3 linked regions of the Elephas maximus indicus genome follow. The protein of the gene in region 2 binds, or shares a complex with, the protein of the main gene of each other region. Links are inferred from orthologs where the notes say so. Each region holds a gene or a part of one and is shown on either strand. Other genes may lie near its edges. The genes, in order: nucleoside diphosphate kinase A, TREX1 and ANP32A.

Evidence for each region.
Region 1: TREX1 (region 2) and nucleoside diphosphate kinase A share a complex: the UniProt entries of both Homo sapiens proteins name them as parts of the SET complex. The link is inferred for Elephas maximus indicus from reciprocal best matches to the Homo sapiens genes TREX1 and NME1.
Region 3: TREX1 (region 2) and ANP32A share a complex: the UniProt entries of both Homo sapiens proteins name them as parts of the SET complex. The link is inferred for Elephas maximus indicus from reciprocal best matches to the Homo sapiens genes TREX1 and ANP32A.

Annotation. Positions count from the first base shown.
Region 1 is NC_064837.1:42,629,570-42,636,502, reverse strand, and holds the start of nucleoside diphosphate kinase A, read left to right. Parts: upstream 1-3,922; 5' UTR 3,923-4,066; intron 4,067-5,425; 5' UTR 5,426-5,429; coding exon 5,430-5,555; intron 5,556-6,933. UniProt on the Homo sapiens protein: Major role in the synthesis of nucleoside triphosphates other than ATP. The ATP gamma phosphate is transferred to the NDP beta phosphate via a ping-pong mechanism, using a phosphorylated active-site intermediate.
Region 2 is NC_064838.1:53,003,889-53,010,059, forward strand, and holds TREX1 (three-prime repair exonuclease 1), read left to right. Parts: upstream 1-3,939; 5' UTR 3,940-4,031; intron 4,032-4,299; 5' UTR 4,300-4,326; coding exon 4,327-5,271; 3' UTR 5,272-5,599; downstream 5,600-6,171. Other genes in the region: ATRIP (ATR-interacting protein), read left to right, coding at 1,418-1,554, 1,703-1,794, 2,266-2,343, 2,547-2,799, 3,202-3,269. UniProt on the Homo sapiens protein: Major cellular 3'-to-5' DNA exonuclease which digests single-stranded DNA (ssDNA) and double-stranded DNA (dsDNA) with mismatched 3' termini. Prevents cell-intrinsic initiation of autoimmunity.
Region 3 is NC_064831.1:58,980,667-58,988,196, reverse strand, and holds the start of ANP32A (acidic leucine-rich nuclear phosphoprotein 32 family member A), read left to right. Parts: upstream 1-4,530; 5' UTR 4,531-6,181; coding exon 6,182-6,265; intron 6,266-6,867; exon of another isoform or gene 6,868-7,050; intron 7,051-7,530. UniProt on the Homo sapiens protein: Multifunctional protein that is involved in the regulation of many processes including tumor suppression, apoptosis, cell cycle progression or transcription. Promotes apoptosis by favouring the activation of caspase-9/CASP9 and allowing apoptosome formation.

The sequences.
Region 1 (6,933 bases), on a different chromosome or scaffold from region 2:
TTCCTTAGAAGTGAGGATGGAGAGGCTACGTCTCATGTGCTTTGGACATGTTATCAGGAGGGACAAGTCCCTGGAGAAGGACATCATGCTTGGTAAAGTAGGGGGTCAGCAAAAAAAAGGAAAACCCTTAACGAGATAAATTGACACAGCAGCTGCAACAACGGGCTCAAACATAGCAATGATTGTGAGGGTGGTGCTTTACCAGGCACCTTTCCTTCTGTTACACATAGGGTTGATAAGAGTCGAAACCAACTTGACAGCACCTAAAACAACAAAGTCTAAACTTCCCAGGCCGGCATTCAAGGCTTGTCAGTAATCTGATGACCTTATCCCCTCTGTTCCATAAGATTCTGTTGGGAGTGTCTAATTAGTTTCTCAGAAATTTACTACTTTTTCCTGGTTGCATCCTTTGTTTTTGACTAGTTCCCTGATCCCCCAATACCTACAGCCTTATCTACTAACTACCCTCTTTCTGTGTATCCAAATCCTACCTCTATAAAATCTTTCCCTACCCCATCAAGACAGCCCAGTGGTTGCTCTTTCTCTTGCCACAATGTTTGATACTGTTAATGCAGTTCACTAAACATTACTCCTATTATTATTTTGAGCTGTGAATACACTGAATTAGCAGGTATATTTAGCAGGGAATGGATGGGGGGCCAGAGGAAAGGAATGATCTGATGATGCCTGAGGTAGTGAATTCCCATTCCTGAGGGTTTCAAGGCTGGATGATCACTTGCCAGGGTTTTGGAGACAGGATTAGTTCCTATGCCTATTAAGATTTCTTCTAGCTTTGAACTCCACAAAGACAGTTTCATAATTTGCTTTGCAGAAACATTTACCTTGGGAAGCCTGGGGGGTTATTCGTTGAGAAAGAAGGGTGAGAGTGGATTCATGTAATTACCATGGTTCCTAGAAGAGATGTGACCTGTTTTCTACTCCCCAACTCCCTTCCCTAGTGTCTGCCTGGGCAAGATCATCCCCACTTAGTAACGCTTAAATCATCAGTTTAAAAGCACCTAGTTTTAGGATAAGGAGCCTTGGTGATTAAGTGCTTGGCTGCCAACTGAAAAGTTGCCAGTTCTAACCTACCAGCCGCTCTGCGGGAGAAAGATGCTGCAGTCTGCTTCCATTAAGATTACAGCCTTGGAAACCCTATAGGACAGTTCTACTCTGTTCTGTAGGGTCACTATGAGTTGGAATCAACTGGAAGGCAACGGGTTTGGTTTTGGTTTTAGGATATAGCTTTACAGAGTTTACCAATCAGCCACATGAGAATCATGAGGGAACTTATTAGAAATGCAAATTCTTAGGCTCCATCTCAGACTTACTAAATCAGAATACGCATTTTAACAAATTCCCAAGTGATTTGTTTGTATACAGAAGTTTGAGAAGCACTAGTATAGTGGACTCCAACCACTGGGAAAATGCTTTGTCAATAACTCTATTGAACTGACATTTAATGCACCCTCTCAAGAAAAAAAGAAAACTAGGAGTCATCATCTATTTTTCCTTCTCTCACACCCCATATCCTCTCCATCAGCAAGCCTGTTGATTCTGCCGTAAATATATATCCTGTAACTAACCACTTGTCTTCATCTCCTTTGTCACCACCTATTGCAAACCACCATCATCTCTCCCTTGGACTACTACTGTACTCTTAACGTGTTTCAATTCCACTTAAAAAATTTTATTTTTAATTTAAAAATAACTATAAATTTACAAGAAGTTACAAGAAAAACAAATAAAAACCTAGGGAAATCCATGTATACTTTCCCTAGTTTTCCCCATAGCAACATCTTCCCTCACTACAGTACAATATCAAAACCAGGAACCTGATATCGCTACAATCCATAGAACTTAACTCAGATCTCTCATTTCACATGCACTCATTCATGTGCATGTGTGTATAGTTCTATGCAACTTCATCACACGTGTAGATTTATGTAGCTGCCACCACAATCAAGAAAAAGAACTGTTCCATTACCACAAGACTTCCTCCTGTTACCCCTTTACAGCCACAATTATCCCCTTCCTCCTACCCCTGACTCCTGCCAATCATCAATCTGTTCTCCATCTCTATAATTTTGTTATTTCAAGAATGTTATATAAATGGAATGATATCATATATAATATTTTGATACTGGCTTTTTTCACTCAGCATAATTCCCTTGAGATCCAACCAAGTTCATGTATCAATAGTTTGTTCTTTTTTTACTGTGGAGTAGTATTCCATGGTACGGATGTACTACAGTTTGTTCAGTCATTTACTGAAGGACATTTGGGTTATTTCTAGTTTTTGGCCATTACAAATAAAGCTTCTGTGAACATTTTGTACAGGCTTTTGTGTGACTAGAACCTAAACTTGGATTTCGCTAGGATAAATGCCCAAGAGTTCAATTGCTGGATTGTATGGTAAGTGCATGTTTAGTTCTACAAGAAACTGCCAAACTGTTTCCCAGAGTGGCTGTGCCATTTTGCATTCCCACCAGAAATGTATGAGTGATCTAGTTTCTCTGCATCCTTAACAGTATTTGGTATTGTCACTATATTTTTAGCTATTATGGAAGGTATTTAATTGTGGTTTAATTTGTACTTCTCTAATAGTTAATGAAAGGAGCCCAGGTGGTGCAACACTTCAGCGCTTGACTGCTAACCAAAAGGAAAGGTTGGCTGGAACCCACTAGCTGCTTCATAGGAAAAAAGACATGGCAATCTGCTCCTGTAAAGATTACAGCCTAGGAAACTCTAGGGCGCGGTCATACTCTATTACATATGGCACTGACTCCAGGGCACAACAATAGTTAATTACATTGAATATCTTTTCTTTTGATTATTTGCCATCTGTACATACTCTTCAGTGAAAAGTCTGTCCTTGTCTTTTGCCCATTTTCTACTTGGATTTTTAAAACATTGTTGAGTTTTGAAAATTCTTTGTATTTTCTAGATACAGGGCCTTTATCAGCTATGTGGTTTGCAGATGTTTTCTCCTCCATCAGTGCTTGTCTTTTCATCCTCTTCATAGGTGTTTACAGAGCAAAAGTTTTTAATTTTCATGAGCTGCAAATTTTCCCTTTTATGCACTGTGAGTTTGGTGCCAAATCTAACAACTCTTTGCCTTGCCCTAGATCCTTTAAGATTTTTTTTTACTGTTTTTAAAAAATGTTTTATAGTTTACATTTTCCATTTAAATCTATGATCCACTTTGAGTGAATTTTTGTGTATGGTGTGAGGTTTAGGTCGTGGTTTTTTTTTTCGCCTATAGTTCGCCAATTGTTTCAGCACCCTTTGCCAAGAAGACTCCTGATTTCAATTTTGTTCCCAGTTCCGTTCTTTCCCCATACAGCAGTCAGAATGAATTTTTAAAAAGTATGTCAGATGACATCAGCCCCATAGGGTTTCCAAGGAGAGCCTAGTGGATTCGAACTGTTGACCTTTCCGTTAGCAGCCTTAGCTCTTAACCACGCCACGAAGATTTCCTTTGTCTTCACAGCACTTATATAATACCACATTTATTACATATTAATTAATTTGCCTATTGTTTTTCCCTGCTCTCAATCCCACCAGAAGCTCCAAGAGAGTTTACTGCTACATCCACAGTGCCCAGAATAGCGCCTGGTACATAGCACACGGTCCACTAAAACCCACTGTCGTCAAAAAATAACTTATTGCATGACTGACCTAAAGAAGGAACGACTACATGTTAACATGTCTGTCAGGTGCCCCTTCAGTCTTCATGCAAGGTCTCGGCGCCCCCTCTCGGGGAAACCAATTTGCTTGCGAACGAAGGAAGCGAGTCACAGAACCGGAAAAAAAAAACGGACTCACGCTACCGGAAGAGCAGGAAACTAATGCCGGAAGTTAAACACCGGAAGGCTGCTCCCTAGAATGCCATCCTACCCCCAAAAGGAAGCGTGGCCGAGTGGTGTTCTGCAAAACGGGCTCTTCGGCATCCCATTTGGACAGAAACGTTCCGCGCGCGTCCGTGCAGGGAACCACGTGGGGCAGGGGCGCGTTTCCGGTGCCGGCGGCAGCTGCCAGAATTGAAGTCCAAGCAGCTGGAGGGGTAAGAAGGGCATGGAGTCCTGGAAGGAAAGGAAGAGGAGTGGGGTCGGGGGTGAAGAGTTCCACTTTGAGAGGCAGGGAAGGGGCTCGGATGGGAGGAAAGGGCCATGGAGCGTCTGTCGACAGCTGCAAACCTGCCGGCGCACGTCCCACGGCACGTGGACTCGCCTTTGTCCGTGGCTGCTCTTCCTACCCCGTCTCGAGGGCAGGGATTATGAACTGTTTATTTCTGCCGAATACAGTGGCTGGTACATTGTTGGTGCTTAGCAAGTCTTTGTGGAATGAATGATAGGTATATGTGCTGCGGGTGGGAGGGAAGGAACACTTATAGGGGCTATTTTTGGTTCTTTAGCCCCATTTTCTCGTGGAGAGTCCATGCTTGTCCCGAGCTTCAATCTGGATTTTCCACCCAGTCCCTAGCACATTATCTCTTGGAGGGAGGAGACATTTTCTTTGCTCATATTGAGTGCTAGCCTTTGTGGTTAGGTGCTGGGGACAGATACGGAGTAATTCAGTTCTGTATGCAGGTCACAGACCATTGGTGAGACAGACACAAGCGGAAAATTTAGACACCGTGTTAAGGTGCTATAATAGGTTAAATAAATTATAAGAAGATAGAGCTAAGAGCTAGGAATTGGTGCTACTATCCACACCAGGAATTGTCTTCCAAGATGAGGGGCTTCCTCCTCCTTTCTCACTGTGTTGAGACAGGGCAGGTCATGGGTCCAATTTCTTCTGTGAAGGGAAGGTCTGTAATAGATCGTTTTTAAGCTTCCTTCCAGCATGATGATCTGTGGATTTACAGTCCCATATCAGATACTACTATTAGCTGTAGTTCTGTAGTCAGAATATTCACTCCATCTTAGAGTGTAGCATAATTGCATAAAGTTGAGGCTGGGAATTCTGGATTCTGGCCCCAGCTTGTACTCTGCACTTGTTTGCCCACCTATAAAATGAAGGGTTTTAATGAAGCAGTCTCTAAAACCTCTTCCAGTTCTAATACCATGACTGTGGCCTTAAGTCAAGCTTTATTTCATATTGCCCTGTACCAGATGGCATTTTCATATTATCATTGTTCCCCATCTGGATTACTGAGAAAGATAGTGTCTAATTTTTACATCCCTTACCTTAGTTTGCCACACTATTAAATGGCATAGAAATAGCCACCCTTGTTTTTGGACTTGTCTCCATTCTGGGATATTAATTCATAGATGAGGGGTGGGGGGAATTGAAATTTTACTGGAGACTTGGAGCTGACATGACGGGCTTAAACCAGCTTTATGGGTAATCAGCTTGAGAAGGATAATGATGTAGGTAGGATATTCAGTGCCGATGCACTCATCCACCTGCCAATCTCCAGGGCCATGGCCAACAGTGAGCGCACCTTCATCGCCATCAAGCCTGATGGGGTCCAGCGGGGCCTCGTGGGAGACATCATCAAACGTTTTGAACAGAAAGGATTCCGCCTTGTTGCTTTGAAATTCATGCAGGTAAGTTGACTCCACTCTTCCTATCTCAATTCCTTGGTAGTACAGGGGAACATTGTAGGTTAAGTTCTCTGTTTCTCTCCTCCTCTCCTTTTTAGGCTTCTCTGTGGTAATGTGGGCACAAATGTCCAGAAACCTGGAAACTCCTCAGTGGCCCAGCATTGTGACCCAGTCTGGGAATGAACCATGTTATTTGGGGCTTTAGAAAATAGTCTCTCCTTTCCTTTAGCAATGCAGACTTCCACCTATTACTGCAGCACTGTAATTTCTGAGTCATTGCTGGGCACGTCTGAGCTACTGGCCTCAAGCGTCCTCAGCAGATAATTTTAGAGAACATTTTTTTTTTCATCCTCCGAGGCAGGTTGTTTTTCAGCAAGGAAATATGTCCACTAAGGAAATATTTCCACCATCAATTACCACCCACTTAGTGTCTAGCATATATTAGGCACCACTGAAGTGTGTGGGGGGGAACTGGTTTTGCCCCTGGGGAGGCTCTCCTGAAACAGCATGACGCCTACAGAGCAACATTTTAATACATGCAAAGGATTAATCGATCAAGAACCCTTCTTCAGACAAATCTAAGAGGTGAGAATTCAAATTCCCAATGCAAATAAATTAGAGGACAGTCGTTTTTCCATTAAAGGTGTCAACTTTGGCATCTCCTAGTGCATTTTAAATTTAGTTTAATTTGCAATTTAGTTCCTGTGTAATGTTTTAGAAAAACTGCTTTCATATAAAGAGATTGAGATGGAAGTTAGTGCTGAGCGGGGAGCATGACAGGATTATTAGAGCCAGGTGTTGGACAAAGAATGCTTTCCAAAGGCTTTGCATATTAGGTTTTAAAGGTAAAATGAAACGAAAGTATTGTTGACCAGGCATTTTACTCTGTAGGGGGCACTGCCAGAGGCATTCTCACAAATGCCTTCACACCTATCTCTCTTGACAACCCCGAGAGGTGGGTTTTCCTATTCTTCTCATTTTTAGGGAAACCCTGGTGGCGTAGTGGTTAGGAGCTATGGCTGCTAACCAGAGGTCGGCAGTTTGAATCCACCAGGCACTCCTTGGAAACCCTATGGGGCATTTCTACTCTGTCCTTTAGACTCGATGGCATTGGGTTTGGTTTTTGATTTTCTGGTTGTCAATGATGAGGAATCTGAGGCTTGGTGAAGTTAAGTCATGTGCCTGATAGCATATTGTCAGGAATGCAGCTGGGGTTTTAGCCTAGGTCCTTCTGACCTCTAAGTGCATACATCTTTTCCTTTATACTGAGTTTCCTATTAAGGACATGGATTTGGTGAAAAATGACAGGAGGGAGAGGAGGGATAGCTGCCATGAATCAAAGGAGTTATTTAAACCTGATGTGGAGGAGGGAGGCAAGGGA
Region 2 (6,171 bases):
TCAGGCATTATTTGTTGAGTGAATAAACCCTGTTTTAAGGTAGGGAAACTTGTCTGCAGCTCCATGGGGAGCATGCTGGTGGAGAAGGGTGGCTTTCAGGCCATCTGTCAGTCTCCTGAAACATTGCCCTTCATCGCTGTCTCATACCACCTCGACTCAGTGATTCTCTTCAGAATTCCTTTATGCTTTCCATGCTTAAGCTGAACCCCCCTACACGCAGCTTCCTGTCTACCTTGGGCTTAAAGCTTGGGTCAGGAGGCTGTCGAGGCTCGAAAGCAGCGTGATGCAGTACAGGTAACCAGGAAGGCTGCGGCACCTTCTGTTCCTCGATAGCCTTAAAAGGGAGGTCGTCGCCCATCCAGTCTTTAAAGCGATCATCCCTCTTATCCTTGTCTTGTTCCTACTGCATCTGTTACAGCCCTAGGGGTCCAGGGTTGTCCCCCAGGGACTGGGACAGCAGGGGGTTCTGAGCAAATAGGACTCACCCCCTTCGAATATAAAATTTCATTTAAAAAGAAGGTTCTGATGCTATCAAAAAGTAGGTTGGAAACCACTGTGTTGTATATAAAGGGGTTTTTTTCCTTGAAGATAGTTTCAGGGGCTATAGTGCACTAGTTTGGAGCCCTGGTGGTACAGTGGTTAAGAGCTCAGCTGCTAACCAAAAGGTCAGCAGTTCAAATCCATCAGCTGCTCCTTGGAAACCCTATGGGGTAGTTCTATTCTGTCCTATAGGGTCTCTATGAGTCAGAATCGACTCGACAGCTTGCCTGATGAAATCAGGTAACAACCAGGTTAAATTTCAATCTCCCACAAAGTCCCACACTCCCTGGCCATTGAAGACCGTTTCTCACACCATGTTATGACATCATGCCTGTTTGGGGGCAGAGGCAGGAAAGCCTGGGAGCTGAGTGTGGGCCAGGCTCCAGGTCCAGGGAGTCCTCCCATTCTCTGAAGAATGCTGGGCCAGGTGAGGGCCTGACAGCCTTCCACCTCAGCAGACCTGCGGGGAAGGTTAGTCCCCACATTTTCACATGACGAGTTTTGTAACAAGTGGGTGGTGGTCAGGCCAGCGTTTGAATCCAGGTCTGAACATTGTCTCTTCATTCTGCCCTACTCAGGTTTTAAAGGAGCCCTGGTAGCACAGTGGTTAAGTACTTGGCTACTAACTGAAAGGTTGGTAGTTTGAACCCGCCAGCCACTGGCAGGAGGAAGACATGTCAGTCTGCTGTAAAGATTTACAGCCTTGGAAACCCTATGGGACAGTTCTACTCTGTCCTCTAGGGTCACTATGAGTCAGAATTGACTCGACAGCAATGGGAACAGGTACTCTGATTTTTGACCACTAGTGAAAAGCAAGGGTGATGAACTGTGGAATTGGGGTTGGGGAGTGTCATGTCTCTCTGGACCTGTTTTTTAGATTCCAGTGTGTGTTCCGGGTGCTGCCACAGTGCCTCAGCCCAGAAACGCCCATCCCCAGCGTGCTGTTGACTGTAGAGCTCCTCTCCCTGCTGGTGGACCACGAGAAGCTTGCCCCTCAGCTCTGTGCCCATTCGGGTAAAGCCAGGCGGGGCGGACAGCTGGACTTCGGCGGACTGGAGGGAGGGTTGGGACAGAGTCAGGGGCCTCCTGAGGCGCCTGCAGCTTGTCCCCCAGCTCTGGGTGAGAAGGGCACCCTGAGTGAGAAGTGGGGCATCCTTTGCAGAGGGCTGCCTCCTCCTGCTGCTGTACATGTACATCACGTCAAGGCCTGACAAAGTGGCCTCGGAGAGACAGTGGCTCCAGCTGGAACAAGAGGTAAAAGTTCCAGACCCCACTGTGGACTGCTCACCACCTCTGCCTCAGGGCCCACAAGCCTCCTTTCTCTGTCCTTCCCGGCCCAGGGAGAAAGGGACCTTTAACTCATTTTGGTAATCAGCTTATCAAGCATCTAAGGAGGTGAAGTCAGTTTGGGGTTGCCACACCACACAGATAGGATAAAGGTGCATCCCAGTTGTCCTGGGACTTGGCAGACCTGCCTGGTGACTGATCCTATCCTGGCTTTGAGTCCTGGTAGCCAAAACGACCTGGGGGCAGGTGGGTTGTTGGTGAGACACAGGCGTGGGTCCTGAGTCTGGCCTGGGAAGGCCCCACGACACCACACCTAGACCCCATTTGTGCAGATAAGCAGTTGCCAAAGCAACTGGAGCTCTTAGGAGAAGCCAGGCAAGGCCCTGTCTGTCTTGGTCTCACTCCGCTGGGGATGGAACTGCCTCATTCTTCTTCTAGGTGGTGTGGCTCCTGGCAAAGCTTGGTGTGCAGAGCCCCTCCCCAGTCACTGGCTCCAACTGCCAGTGCAACATGGAGGTGAGTGGCCAGGGGCAGGTAGCAGCCAACAATGTGGCAGCTCTGCAAGTGGGCAAGGTGGCCCTGTGCAAGGACTCCGTACTCCTAAACCTGGTGCCCACCACTCAGAAACCTCCTCACCTGGGATGCTGGGAAATGTGCTGCCCAGCTGAGCAGGTTTTTAGGCACAGGAAGCTAGGAGACTTGACCCCCTCCCCCATCAGGTGGTGAGAGCGCTCACGGTGATGCTGCACAGACAGTGGCTGACAGTACGGAGGGCAGAGGGGCCCCCAAGGACTGACCAGCAGAAGCGGACAGTGCGGTGTCTGCGGGACACAGTGCTGTTGCTGCACAGCCTGTCCCAGAAGGACAAACTCTTCACTGTGCACTGCGTGGAAGTCCTGCATCAGTATGACCAGGTGATGCCAGGGGTCAGCACACTGATCCGAGGGCTCCCTGATGTGACAGACTGTGAAGGTGAGCAGGCAAGAGGATCTACTCACACGTGGGGTTTTCCCTGAAGCTTATGGACAAGGTCGACTTCCTGGCCTCACTTAGCAGTCCCCTCCCCCATCTGTCACAGCCTTTCCTGCCCTGGGGACATGCTCATTGTCTTCCTGCTTTGGTTCTTCTCTGATCACACTGGGCTGCCTTTTGCTTGCATCTGTTGAGTTGGCCTGGCAAAGCCACGGTTTTTCCAGAAGTATCCCTGTCTGAATTGCCTTTGTATCACTTTGCTTGCAGTAGCTGAGGGAGCAAGGCCTGGGCTTGGAAGGGACTGGTTAGTTCCTGCCCGCGCTGGGGGAAGAGAGGCGGGACCTCCCCCAGCCCCCAGCACCTTCCCATCTTCACCATAGAACCCTTTTCTTTCTGGCTCAGAGGCAGCCCTGGATGACCTCTGTGCTGCCGAGACCGATGTGGATGACCCCGAGATGGACTGTGCCTGAGGCCCGTGAGCATTGCCAGCACCACCATTTTCCTCCCTTCATTAACTGATTAAAAGCAGTGAGGGGCTGTTGGGCCGAGAACACCAGCTTCGGTGTTGTGTTTCCTGAGTCTTCTTGGCTGAGTGGGCGGGATGGCACAGGGACCCAGAGAAGAAAGGCTGAGATCCTTCCTTCTGTCCCTGGCTAGAGCTGAGATCCCATCCCCATGGTAACTAATCTGCCATAAAGAGCACTGCCCTGCTTATAGAATTGCCCTGAGTCATTGTTTTGGGCTAGGGCCATGGGAAGAAACCTTCGTGTGGCAGAGGAGGGCCCCTCACCCTAGACGTAAACTAGGGAGGCCTGGGAAAGTGGGCCAAGGTGTGGGTGCAAAAGGGCCAGGCCAGGGGCTCCCAGCAGTGCCAGAGCTAGTCTTGGAGCTAGCCTCCCAGGACTGCCTGGGCACGGTGTCCTCAGGTGGCGCTCTCACTGGGGTGAGCACCCTGGTGCACTGTGCACAGGCCCACAGCTGTGCATCTGAGAAGTCCTTGGGGCGCCACTGCAGGGAGGGAAGGAATGACTGGGAAGCGAAGGGCGCTGGTGGGTGGCCTAAACCCAGCCGGCTTAAGAACTGGGCGGGCCTTGCTCACGTGGGCACGTAGGCGGGTCTTAGTCCTGCGGCGGGGCGGGGGCAGGGCCTAGGCTGCGTTTCACTTCCCGCCACTGCTGGCCAGCCCCAGAACCAGACGGAGGGTGTGCGGCCCTGATTGCGGCTTGTTTCCGGTGAGTGCAGACCCCCAGGGAGATCCGCGGGAGGAGGAGAAGGCTATGTAAGATGTCCATGGGTGCTACCCCCGAGGTGGGCATTAGGGGAGGCGCCAAACTCATGTGAAGGAGACCCCCACACACAAACCCACAGTTGAGTGCTTTTGGCACTGAGGAAGCCACCCCACCCTCTCTGAGCCAGCTTCCTGCCCCCACCCCACCCCCACCATCGATCTTTCTACTGGGGCACTCACCCACCCCACCCCTACCCCATGTTCCTCCCCAGGCTCAGCAGCAGGTACTAGTCCCTTCCATGGGCTCACAGGCCCCATCCTGGGGTCCTATGCAGACTCTCATCTTCTTGGACCTGGAGGCCACTGGCCTGCCCTTCTCCCAGCCCAAGGTCACGGAACTATGCATGCTGGCCATCCACAGATGTGCCCTGGAGAACACCCCCAGCCCCCAGGGGCCGCCTCCCACCGTACCTCCGCTGCCGCGCGTGGTAGACAAGCTCTCCCTATGCGTGGCTCCTGGGAAGGCCTGTAGCCCTGCGGCCAGCGACATCACGGGCCTGAGCACAGCTGCACTGGCAGCACATGGGCGTCAGCGCTTCAATGTCAACCTGGTCAACCTGCTCCGAGCCTTCCTACAGCGCCAGCCACAGCCCTGGTGCCTCGTGGCACACAACGGGTACCGCTATGACTTCCCCCTGCTCCAGGCAGAGCTGGCTGCACTGGGCCTTGCCAGTGCTCTGGACGGCGCCTTCTGTGTGGACAGCATCACTGCCCTGAAGGCCCTGGAGCATGCCAGCAGCCCCTCCGAGCGCGGCCTAAGGAAGAGCTACAGCCTGGGCAGCATCTACACACGCCTCTTCGGGCAGGCCCCACCAGACTCACACACAGCTGAGGGGGACGTCCTGGCCCTGGTCAGCATCTGTCAGTGGAGGCCGCAGGCCCTGCTGCAGTGGGTAGATGCTCATGCCAGGCCTTTCAGCACTGTCATGCCCATGTATAGGGTTGATGCCTCCACTGGGACCGACCCAAGGCCATCAGCTGCCACGGCCACTGTGACCCTGGTCACAACCAGGGACACTAGTCCCAACCTTGGTGGGGACAGGAGCCCCAAGAGTCTTCTTCACTTGGAGGGCCCTGGAATCCTACCCAAGGAGGGGCTGCTGGCCCCACTGGGCCTGCTGGCCTTCCTGACCTTGGCAGTAGCCACACTGTATGGGCTGTCCCTGGCCACAACTGGACAGTAGGGCTGAGGAAGAAAATCTAATAAAGACCCCCAGCGCCAGTGAGTGGTCATTTGCTTCCTGACACACTGTCCTCTGGGGTGGGGAACACAGAAGGGGACAAGTTTCTGTTTCTCCCCAGCAGGAAGTCTGAGCCCAATAAAAGTAGGAAGAAACTTGGTCAAAATCACGGAAAATCCAAGTGGTGGGAAGAAATGGTACACAGCCTAATGCCCAATCCCTGCAGCCAAGGCTATGAAGAAAGAGGGAAGCAGTTCCAAATGTTGGCATTTATTATAAACAAGGGTGCAGACCCCACAACATTTCTCAGAAACATAGCAGCAGATACAAAGCTAAGACATTTCTGGTGAAACAACAGAAGATAAGAACACCAAGTTACTCATGTCTGGGCCTGAGCTGCCACCCGCAGCCCCGCCCCACCTTTGGTCCAGAGAGCCTCTCGGTCCAGGTGTCCCGCTGCCAGGATGAATTGTGGACTGAGGTACAAGGAGTTCAATGTTCCGGGGGGCTGGTGTCAGGGGAGTAGGGACAGAAAGGTCAGACCACACCTCTCTGTCGGCCAATTTCCCCCCAGGACCCAAGAGTTTCAGCCTCACGCAACTGTCACGCACGTTACCAACCAGAACATGGGACAAAATACTTGGCCAAAAATAAAAACAGAGCAGGGAGGAGACCTGAGTCTGTTTTTGGACAGAGGCCATCCTGCCCACTATGGCAAGGGCCAGGGCCAACAAGGGCAAGAGAGCTTCTCCACAGGCAGCTAGAACTGTGGGTGGACATGGGCCTCCAGGTGGTCCCAGGGAGGGTGCAAGGACAGTCCAGGCAGACAGCTCTCAGGTGCTGAAACTGGCCCTGAGAACGATGTGAGGTGGTGGGCCTGTGCCTGAGGTGTTTTGATACCAC
Region 3 (7,530 bases), on a different chromosome or scaffold from region 2:
TTTATTATTATTTTTAAAAAATATCATCCAGACACAGGGAAAACAGGGTAGAGAGGAGGAACGTGCTGTCTCATTAGGGGGAGTGCGGCTAGGAATACATACCAAGGTGTGTATAACTTTTTGTATGAGAGACGGACTTGATTTGTAAACTTTCATTTAAAAAAAATTTAAAGCACAATTAAAAAAAAAAAATCCATCCAATGCTTTGTTAAGTACAAGAAAATTAAGAATAAGTAACTTTTTAGATCCTGGGCCTCAACATTCCTTTGCTATTCATATCAAAATGCAGTAGTCTTCACATTTGTTACCCTGGATTTCAAAAGAATATATTTCTAAAAGCTATTTATATAGAAACACAAAGGAGAACATAATTAAGCTGGAGTCTTCCCATATCATTGTTTTTGGGGTCTAAGCAGCAGAACCATGATGTAGGTAAAAGAATACAATGGCCAGGTTCCAGTGTATGTGATTCAAGCTGAACAAAAAGCTGAATGGTGAATACGTTAACCTCACTCATGGAAAGGATGCTCAGTAGAGGGTCTCCGTCTTTAGAGACCAAACAAGGGCAATTGAGCCAACATGGCAGCAGCAATGATGTGGGTATTTATAAAACAATACTTTCTAACACTTATCAAGATAGGCTAAGGACACCCATTCCTCATCCCTCTTTGAGTACAAGATAGGCTGCTCATTTGTTTGGAATGGTTCTTGATGGGAAATATTCTGCAAGACAGAAAGATATCTTTTCTAACTTGAGAACCATCTTTCTTCCTTGAGGCTTGTCTTAGTCATCTAGTGCTGCTATAACAGAAATACCACAGGTGGATGGCTTCAACACAGAGAAGTTTATTCTCTCACAGTCCAGTAGGCTACAAGTCCAAATTCAGGGTGTCTTTTCCAGGGGAAGGCTTTCTCTGGCCACTCTGGAGGAAGGTTCTTATCATCAATCTTACCCTGGACTAAGAGCTTCTCCATGCAGGAACCCTGGGTCCAAAGGACACATTCTGCTCCTGGTGCTGCTTTCCAGGTGGTGTGAGGTTCCCACTCTGCTTGATTCCCTTTCCATTTATCTCCTGTAAGATAAAAGATAATGCAGGCCACACTCCAGGGCAACTCCCTTTACATCGGATCAGGGATGTGAATTTAGTAAGGGAGTAATAATCCCACCCTAATCCTCTGTAGCATAAAATTACAATCACACAATGCAGGACAGTCACACAATACTGGGAATCATGGCCTAACCAAGTTGACACGTATTTTTAGGGGACACAATTCAATCCATGACAGGGCTCAAAACTGTCTCATTCTTTCCAGTGTGAATCAAGCCCAGTTACAGAAGTCACAGACTCTACACCTCTCATAACCTAACTCCTATTGCAGAATCACTCAGCAATTAGGAACTCACCCTGTTCCAACTCCACATCAAAATTCAGCAAGAGTCCTTGGTATGGGCTTCTTTTACTATTATCTTCCGATTTGCAGAGCCATTCAGAGCATTTCTTTACTACTATAGAAGGGTCGCTACGAGTCAGAATCGACTCGATGGCACTGGGTTTGGTTTTTTTGGTTTATAGTATGCAATAAAATGTAATCTAAGAAACAACCCTAGTAAATAAGGAATATAAGAGCAAATATTTTTTGATGTTTTGATTTTTTTGATGGCTCAGTTTTACCCGAGCTATGTCTGTTTCCTTTTGACAATTAAATCAGTACCACGTGAAAATTTTCTTAGAAATAAACTTCCTGTGCGCCGTCAACACCAACTCAGAGAGACCCTATAGGACCGAGTAGAACTGCCCCATAGGGTTTCCTAAGCTGTGATCTTAACAGGAGCAGATCGACAGGTCTTTTCCCCCTTGGAGCTGCTGGTGGGTTTGAATTGCTGACCTTTTGGTCAGCAGCTGGACATTAACCATTGTGCCACCAGGGCTCCTTAGAAATAAACTACAAACATTAACTTCTGTCTGCGAAAGTGAGAGGAAGTCTCTTCTTTCAAAGTATGTGGAAAAAAGTTAAGTATTCAATTAGTTATGGAGCCTTTTTTGATATTTCAAATTCTATACTGACAGATATCCAGGAAAGCATTCTTTCAATTTTCTAACACTAATACAAAAGCAGTTAAAATTTTAAAGGGCAAGATGCTTTTAAAAACAACTGTGTTACATTTCATATTTTGATATAGTGATCAGGCTGCAATTTTTCCAATTCTAAACATTACCACTCTATGAAGGGCTCTTCCGTATCTTAATTTGTTCAGGTGCACTCTTTAAAGGGGGTTTGAGCTTCCAAGCCATACTCTCCCGTTCTTACACTCTAAAGCTATCTGCTTCTGTTTCAGAGTATTGGATGGGACACATCTCTGCACTTGAGTGGATGGCTTTTGAGGGATCCCTCCTCTGCAAAGGTACTGTCCCATATCCCATTTTAACTGTGGTAAACGTTTTAAGTTGAAGATGAGTCTTTACCACTTAGAACATAAACGTCAGGGCTACTATGTTACATAGATGCTACACACCTTATTGATTTAATGTGTTTGTGATGTTTTCCAGAGGTCTGTTTTGAAACAACCTTAAATACCATATTCAGAAATAACTGACTCAATGGTAAAAGAGATAATTTGGGGTCCTTCCTTATGTTTTAAAAAGAAACCAATACCATTAAAAAAAAAAAAATTCCAACTATGCAAACCAAACCACACTTATTGCCGGCAAGTCGATTCCAACTCATAGCAACCCCATAGAACAGAGTAGAGCAGCCCCATAGGGTCCCAAGGGGTGGCTGGTGGATTCAAACTGCTGACCTTTTGGTTAGCAGCCAAGCTAAAATGAGATTAACAAAACTAAAGATGACAGGTATGTCAGCTAAGCCAGCAAGTTAAAATTATTCTAGGTACACCCAAATCGATTAAAATGCCTTTTTTATTTTGCATTTCCCAACTACTCAAAGGGTAAGCATTATCAGTTTTTAAATTCCATTTATTACTATTCTATCTGAAAGAAGAATTTACTGAATAAAGTGTTAAGTTGCAGGATGTCGCCTGTATCTGTCCTTGTTAACAATTCCTGTGATTTATTAAAAGCCATAGGCAGCCAATTTAGTACACGAAGGTCTAGGCCTGGCCGTAAGTAGTTGGTAACCCAGTGAGAATTAAGACTTTAAGGTCTCTTAAAACTAATGTGATTCAAACTAAAAGCAGGTAAAGCAAAAACACCTGGTGAAAATGCTCCAAGTAGAGCCTCCCTGGTAAGCCAAATCTAACCAATGACTCAAATGGACGATTAAAATGAACTGCACCGTTTCCTTCAACTATGTCTATAAAACCCCATAAATTATTTTTGGCCCAGAAACCCAGGAGTTATAATAGCACCTTCCTTTTGCACGTTTTAATGTTCTATATACATTTATCAACAGTTCTTATTCCAAGTTCATGGTCTTCATATACTGTCTAAACAAGACCCTGGTGCCTCTTGGTGACCACCCCCCCCCACGCTGTTCCCTACGGAGAGGGTCGAGACCGCACGGTAAAGTCATCCAAAAGTGGAAGGAAACATTTTGCTTTTCTTATTTATTGAGAGGCAGCGATGGCCCTGGCCGAGGGAAAGGGGAGCGCTGGGCTGAGCCGCGGCCACCAAGTGTGTGTGTGTGGCGGGAGGGGGACGGCCACGCTCCTCCAGCTCAGCCCTCCGGACCCAGAAAATGACCAGCCCCTCCGCCCAGCTGCACCCTTGACCCCTCCCCCCTTTCCGGGCCTCCCCCGGCCAGCCCGAAGGGCAGCCGGCGGACCCCGACCTCGCGCCGCCCGCCTCCTTTCGCAACCCCATCGGGCGGGCCGGAGCGGCCGCGCTAAGCCTGGGGCCCGGCGGGGACCCCGACCCGACCCCTCCGGCCGCGCCCCTCCCCCCGTGTAACGCACCTGCGGCCCCGCCCCCGGCCAAACGCTGAGGCGGCGGCGGACTGGCGCGACCGGGAGGCTCGGCCCTCGAGGCACAGTCACCTTCCCTTCCCCCGCCATTCCGCCCACCCCCCTCGCTCAGCCACCGAGCAGCCACCGCGCTCCTCGGCCGCCCCGAAATCTAAAGGGGTCCGTCTCCGGCACCACAACCAAATGGCTGAGCCTCCCTGGCCGGCTGCGCAGCCCGCCCATTGGTCCCTTCCCCCCCGCCGCCGCCACCATGGGCTGTTGCCCGGAGACCCTCGGCGATGATTGGCTCTGGCTGCTGCCACTCGTCCTCGGGGCCGCAGGTCCCGCCTCCACGGCGATCAGGTTAGTGTGCGCTGCGGGTGCTGGGGGCTCGAGAACCGAGCGGAGCTGGTTGAGCCTTCAAAGTCCTAAAACGCGCGGCCGTGGGTTCGGGGTTTATTGATTGAATTCCGCCGGCGCGGGAGCCTCTGCAGAGAGAGCAAGCGAGAGATGGAAATGGACAAACGGATTCATTTAGAGCTGCGGAACAGGACGCCCTCTGATGTGAGCATTTGCCAAAAATATCTCTGTCGGTCCATTCTCCTACTTTGTCTGTCTGTGTTGGGGGGGAGGCACTGTTTTTTGAGAGGGGGGCGCCCAGAAGGTGTGGGTTTGAGAGTCGGACTGCAAATGAATTGCAGGGTTGGGGGATTGCAATGCCATCCGAGCATGTTCCGGCTGCTGCTGCCGCTGCCCTTGGTGTGTGACTACCTGTGCGTGTGCTCCCGCGTGTGCGCGTCCAAGTGTGCGAGTGTGGGTGCGAGTGTGCGTGCGAATGTGCACCCATCAGGGGCCAGCGGGCGCACGCGTTTGGGTCGGAGAGAATGAGGGAAAATCACCCTCTGAGCTCGCTGCTCCCGTGACTCCGTCGGGGGGAAAGATTAACGAGGGAGGGGGAGGACAGGGGCTGCCTCCTGGATTTAACAACAAAAATAAGGGGCTTTTATGTTTTATAAACGTAGCCCTCCTTCCGCGCCCCCCCTCCCGCGCCTTCCCCCTCCCTTTCTCTCTCTCACACACAATAAGTTTTGGGCTTCGCGAGTCCAGTTTAGTTTCAGATAAATGTGGGCCGAGGCCCCCGGGGACAGCGCGTGGGGAGGGGGCTGCAGTGGAGTTGGGAATGGCTCGAGTTTAAAGTGCGTCTTCATTTCTTTGCAGTGATGAGGCGAGAGACGGGGGAGCCATATTTGTAACTTTGTAGTGTTCGTGAACGCGCCCTTTCTCTCCCTCCCTCCCTGCCTTTCTCTGCCTCCCTTCCTTTCCTCTTTCTCTCTCACTCTTTCCACCCCACCTTCGGGCCAGATGCTGATGTTTCTTCCTTTCCTTCGGAAGGGAGGATAAATTAGAAGGCGGGGGGAGGGATTTTCGAACGTGGAAAGGCACAGATAATCCCCGCGCCTCCCCACCTCGAGCCACCACTGTTGCAAGTTACCGAGAGGCTACGTCCCGGACCCCTTCGCCCCAGCTCCTTCCGGCCTCCCTAAGATGCCAGCCTCGGAGCCTCGCCTCCCCGTCAACACGAGCCCCCAGCCCGGCTTTCTCTGGGGTGGGCTCTTTGGCAGCCATTCGCGCCTGGTTCATAAATGGGCACGGGAAACTTTGTCAGGACGCGAGCTGCCCAGAGCTGGTGCTGGGTATTGGCTGGGTCCAGGTTTATGCGGGCATAGAAAACACGCAGCTCCGGGACGGAGTTTGCCTTCTCTTCGCCGTTATTGATTGGGCAGCGGAAGGAGTCCGGCCGGAGAAAACTTACACGGATGGGAACCGGGAGGCTCTGGCAAAAGCCCACTCCTAGGAGAGGGGACAGTGAGGGTGGGTTACTTGCACGCTCGTTTTTATTTCGGTCTGCCTCCCGCGTGCAAACATGAGTGTTTTATGCGAGTTGGCTCAGCGGAGGAGACCCCCAGGCCCGGGGCGAAGACGCTGGCCGACTCCCCTCGTGGCCCTGCGGGGAGATCTGGGGCGCGCGGGCGGGCGAGGAGGACCCTCTATAACCTCGGTGGCCGTGTTTGCGCAGAGTTGGGAATTTGGGTAGCACTGTGCGCTGACCTGTCGCCTCTCTAACCCGCTAAAACCCGAATCCCTGGCGGAGGTCGGCTTTGCTTCCCCTTTTCCCTAGTTCCTCCCCCAAACCTGAGTGTGACTTTTGAAAACAAGAGCCTTTTTGTGCCCCCACCCCCATCATAACGCAGCTGTGGACTGGAGACGAGCGAGTGCCTTATGGCGCGCAGGGCTGGGGGATGGCCGCCGGAGAAAGCAGGAGTTTCCGCGAACAATTCGCTGGCGGTTTTCTTTCTCTGGCCGGTATCATCCCAGCTTGGACCCCGGGCCGGAGGATTTGGGGCTGGGTGTGGTGATGGGGGAGGGGGTTGGAGGCCGCGGTCTTCCCGCGTACTTTCCGGAAGCCCCCGGTGCGGAGGGGGAAGGGCGCCAAGTAGGGGGCCGGGGTCGCAGCTGCTCGGTGTGGGGGCGCGGTTCGCCGGACGAACCCTATACACATTGCTGGCCAATTGGGAGCGAGATCGAAAGCGGGTCGAACCGGCTCTTTAAACTTCACCGAGTGTGTGTCTCTGTGTGTGTGTGTGTGTGTGTGGTGTGTGTGTTGGGGGAGGGGAGCGCGACGCGCCGAACTGGGAGAGATTTCTCACGCTTCGCCCCCTCGCCTCCTAGTCTCCCTGCCCACTCGCCTGCCCCCGGCCTTGAGGAGGGGTGGGGAGCGGATGGGGGTTGAGAGGACACTTTCTGCATATTTGGATAGGAGGGGGAAAAGGCTACCTAATGAGGGACAAAAGGGGTGGGGGAGGAGGAACTGTTTTCTTTTAAAATGTCCTAAATGCAAATAGCTCCCGGAGAGCGCTGCCTGCACCCCTCCCTGCCGCGCTGCCCCCGGGCCCCCACACACCCACCTTCGGAGCCTCTCCCAACTCTGTTCCGGCGGCTGGTGGCCACGCCGCGACGCCGAACTAGGACGAGCAGCCATGTTTCCCCGGGTCTCTCGCGGCCCGCCCCGCCCCTCCCCCACGGCGCGGCGGGCGCGGAGCGCGGGGCTCGGAATGCGGGCGCCCGCTCCATGCGGCGGGGCGCCGGGGCGGCCGGGACGCCGTGCGCGCGGGCCGGGGCGCGGGCGCGCCGCCTCGGCCCCCGGCCCCGCCTCGCGCTTTCCCGAGTGGTTCCGAGCGCGAGGTGTTTAATTTAGGATTTTTTTTCACAAGCAGGCCAGCCTGGGGCCGAGCCCGAGGGGCGCGAGGCGTTATTGGGGGGGCGAGGGCAGCCGCCAAGGCCTTGCGCGCCTGTGGCACGACTGCCGGGCGCCGGGCTGCCATTTTGTCACCGTGGATGTTGTCGCTGTGGGGGGGGGAGCGGAGTCTTGCGCCATTGCCCCGACGGCCCCGGGCACGGAGGCAGTGGGGGGGGGGGGGCCGGCACAGGGGACCCCAAATCGTTCTCGGGGCCCCGATGGGGATTCTCTCCCCACGCCTACAGCCCGAGGTTTCGCCGGAGCGTCGCAGCGGCGGTTGAATCGGGAGGGCGACGGTCCTCCCGGCAAGTGCTCCCCTCACCCCAGTCGC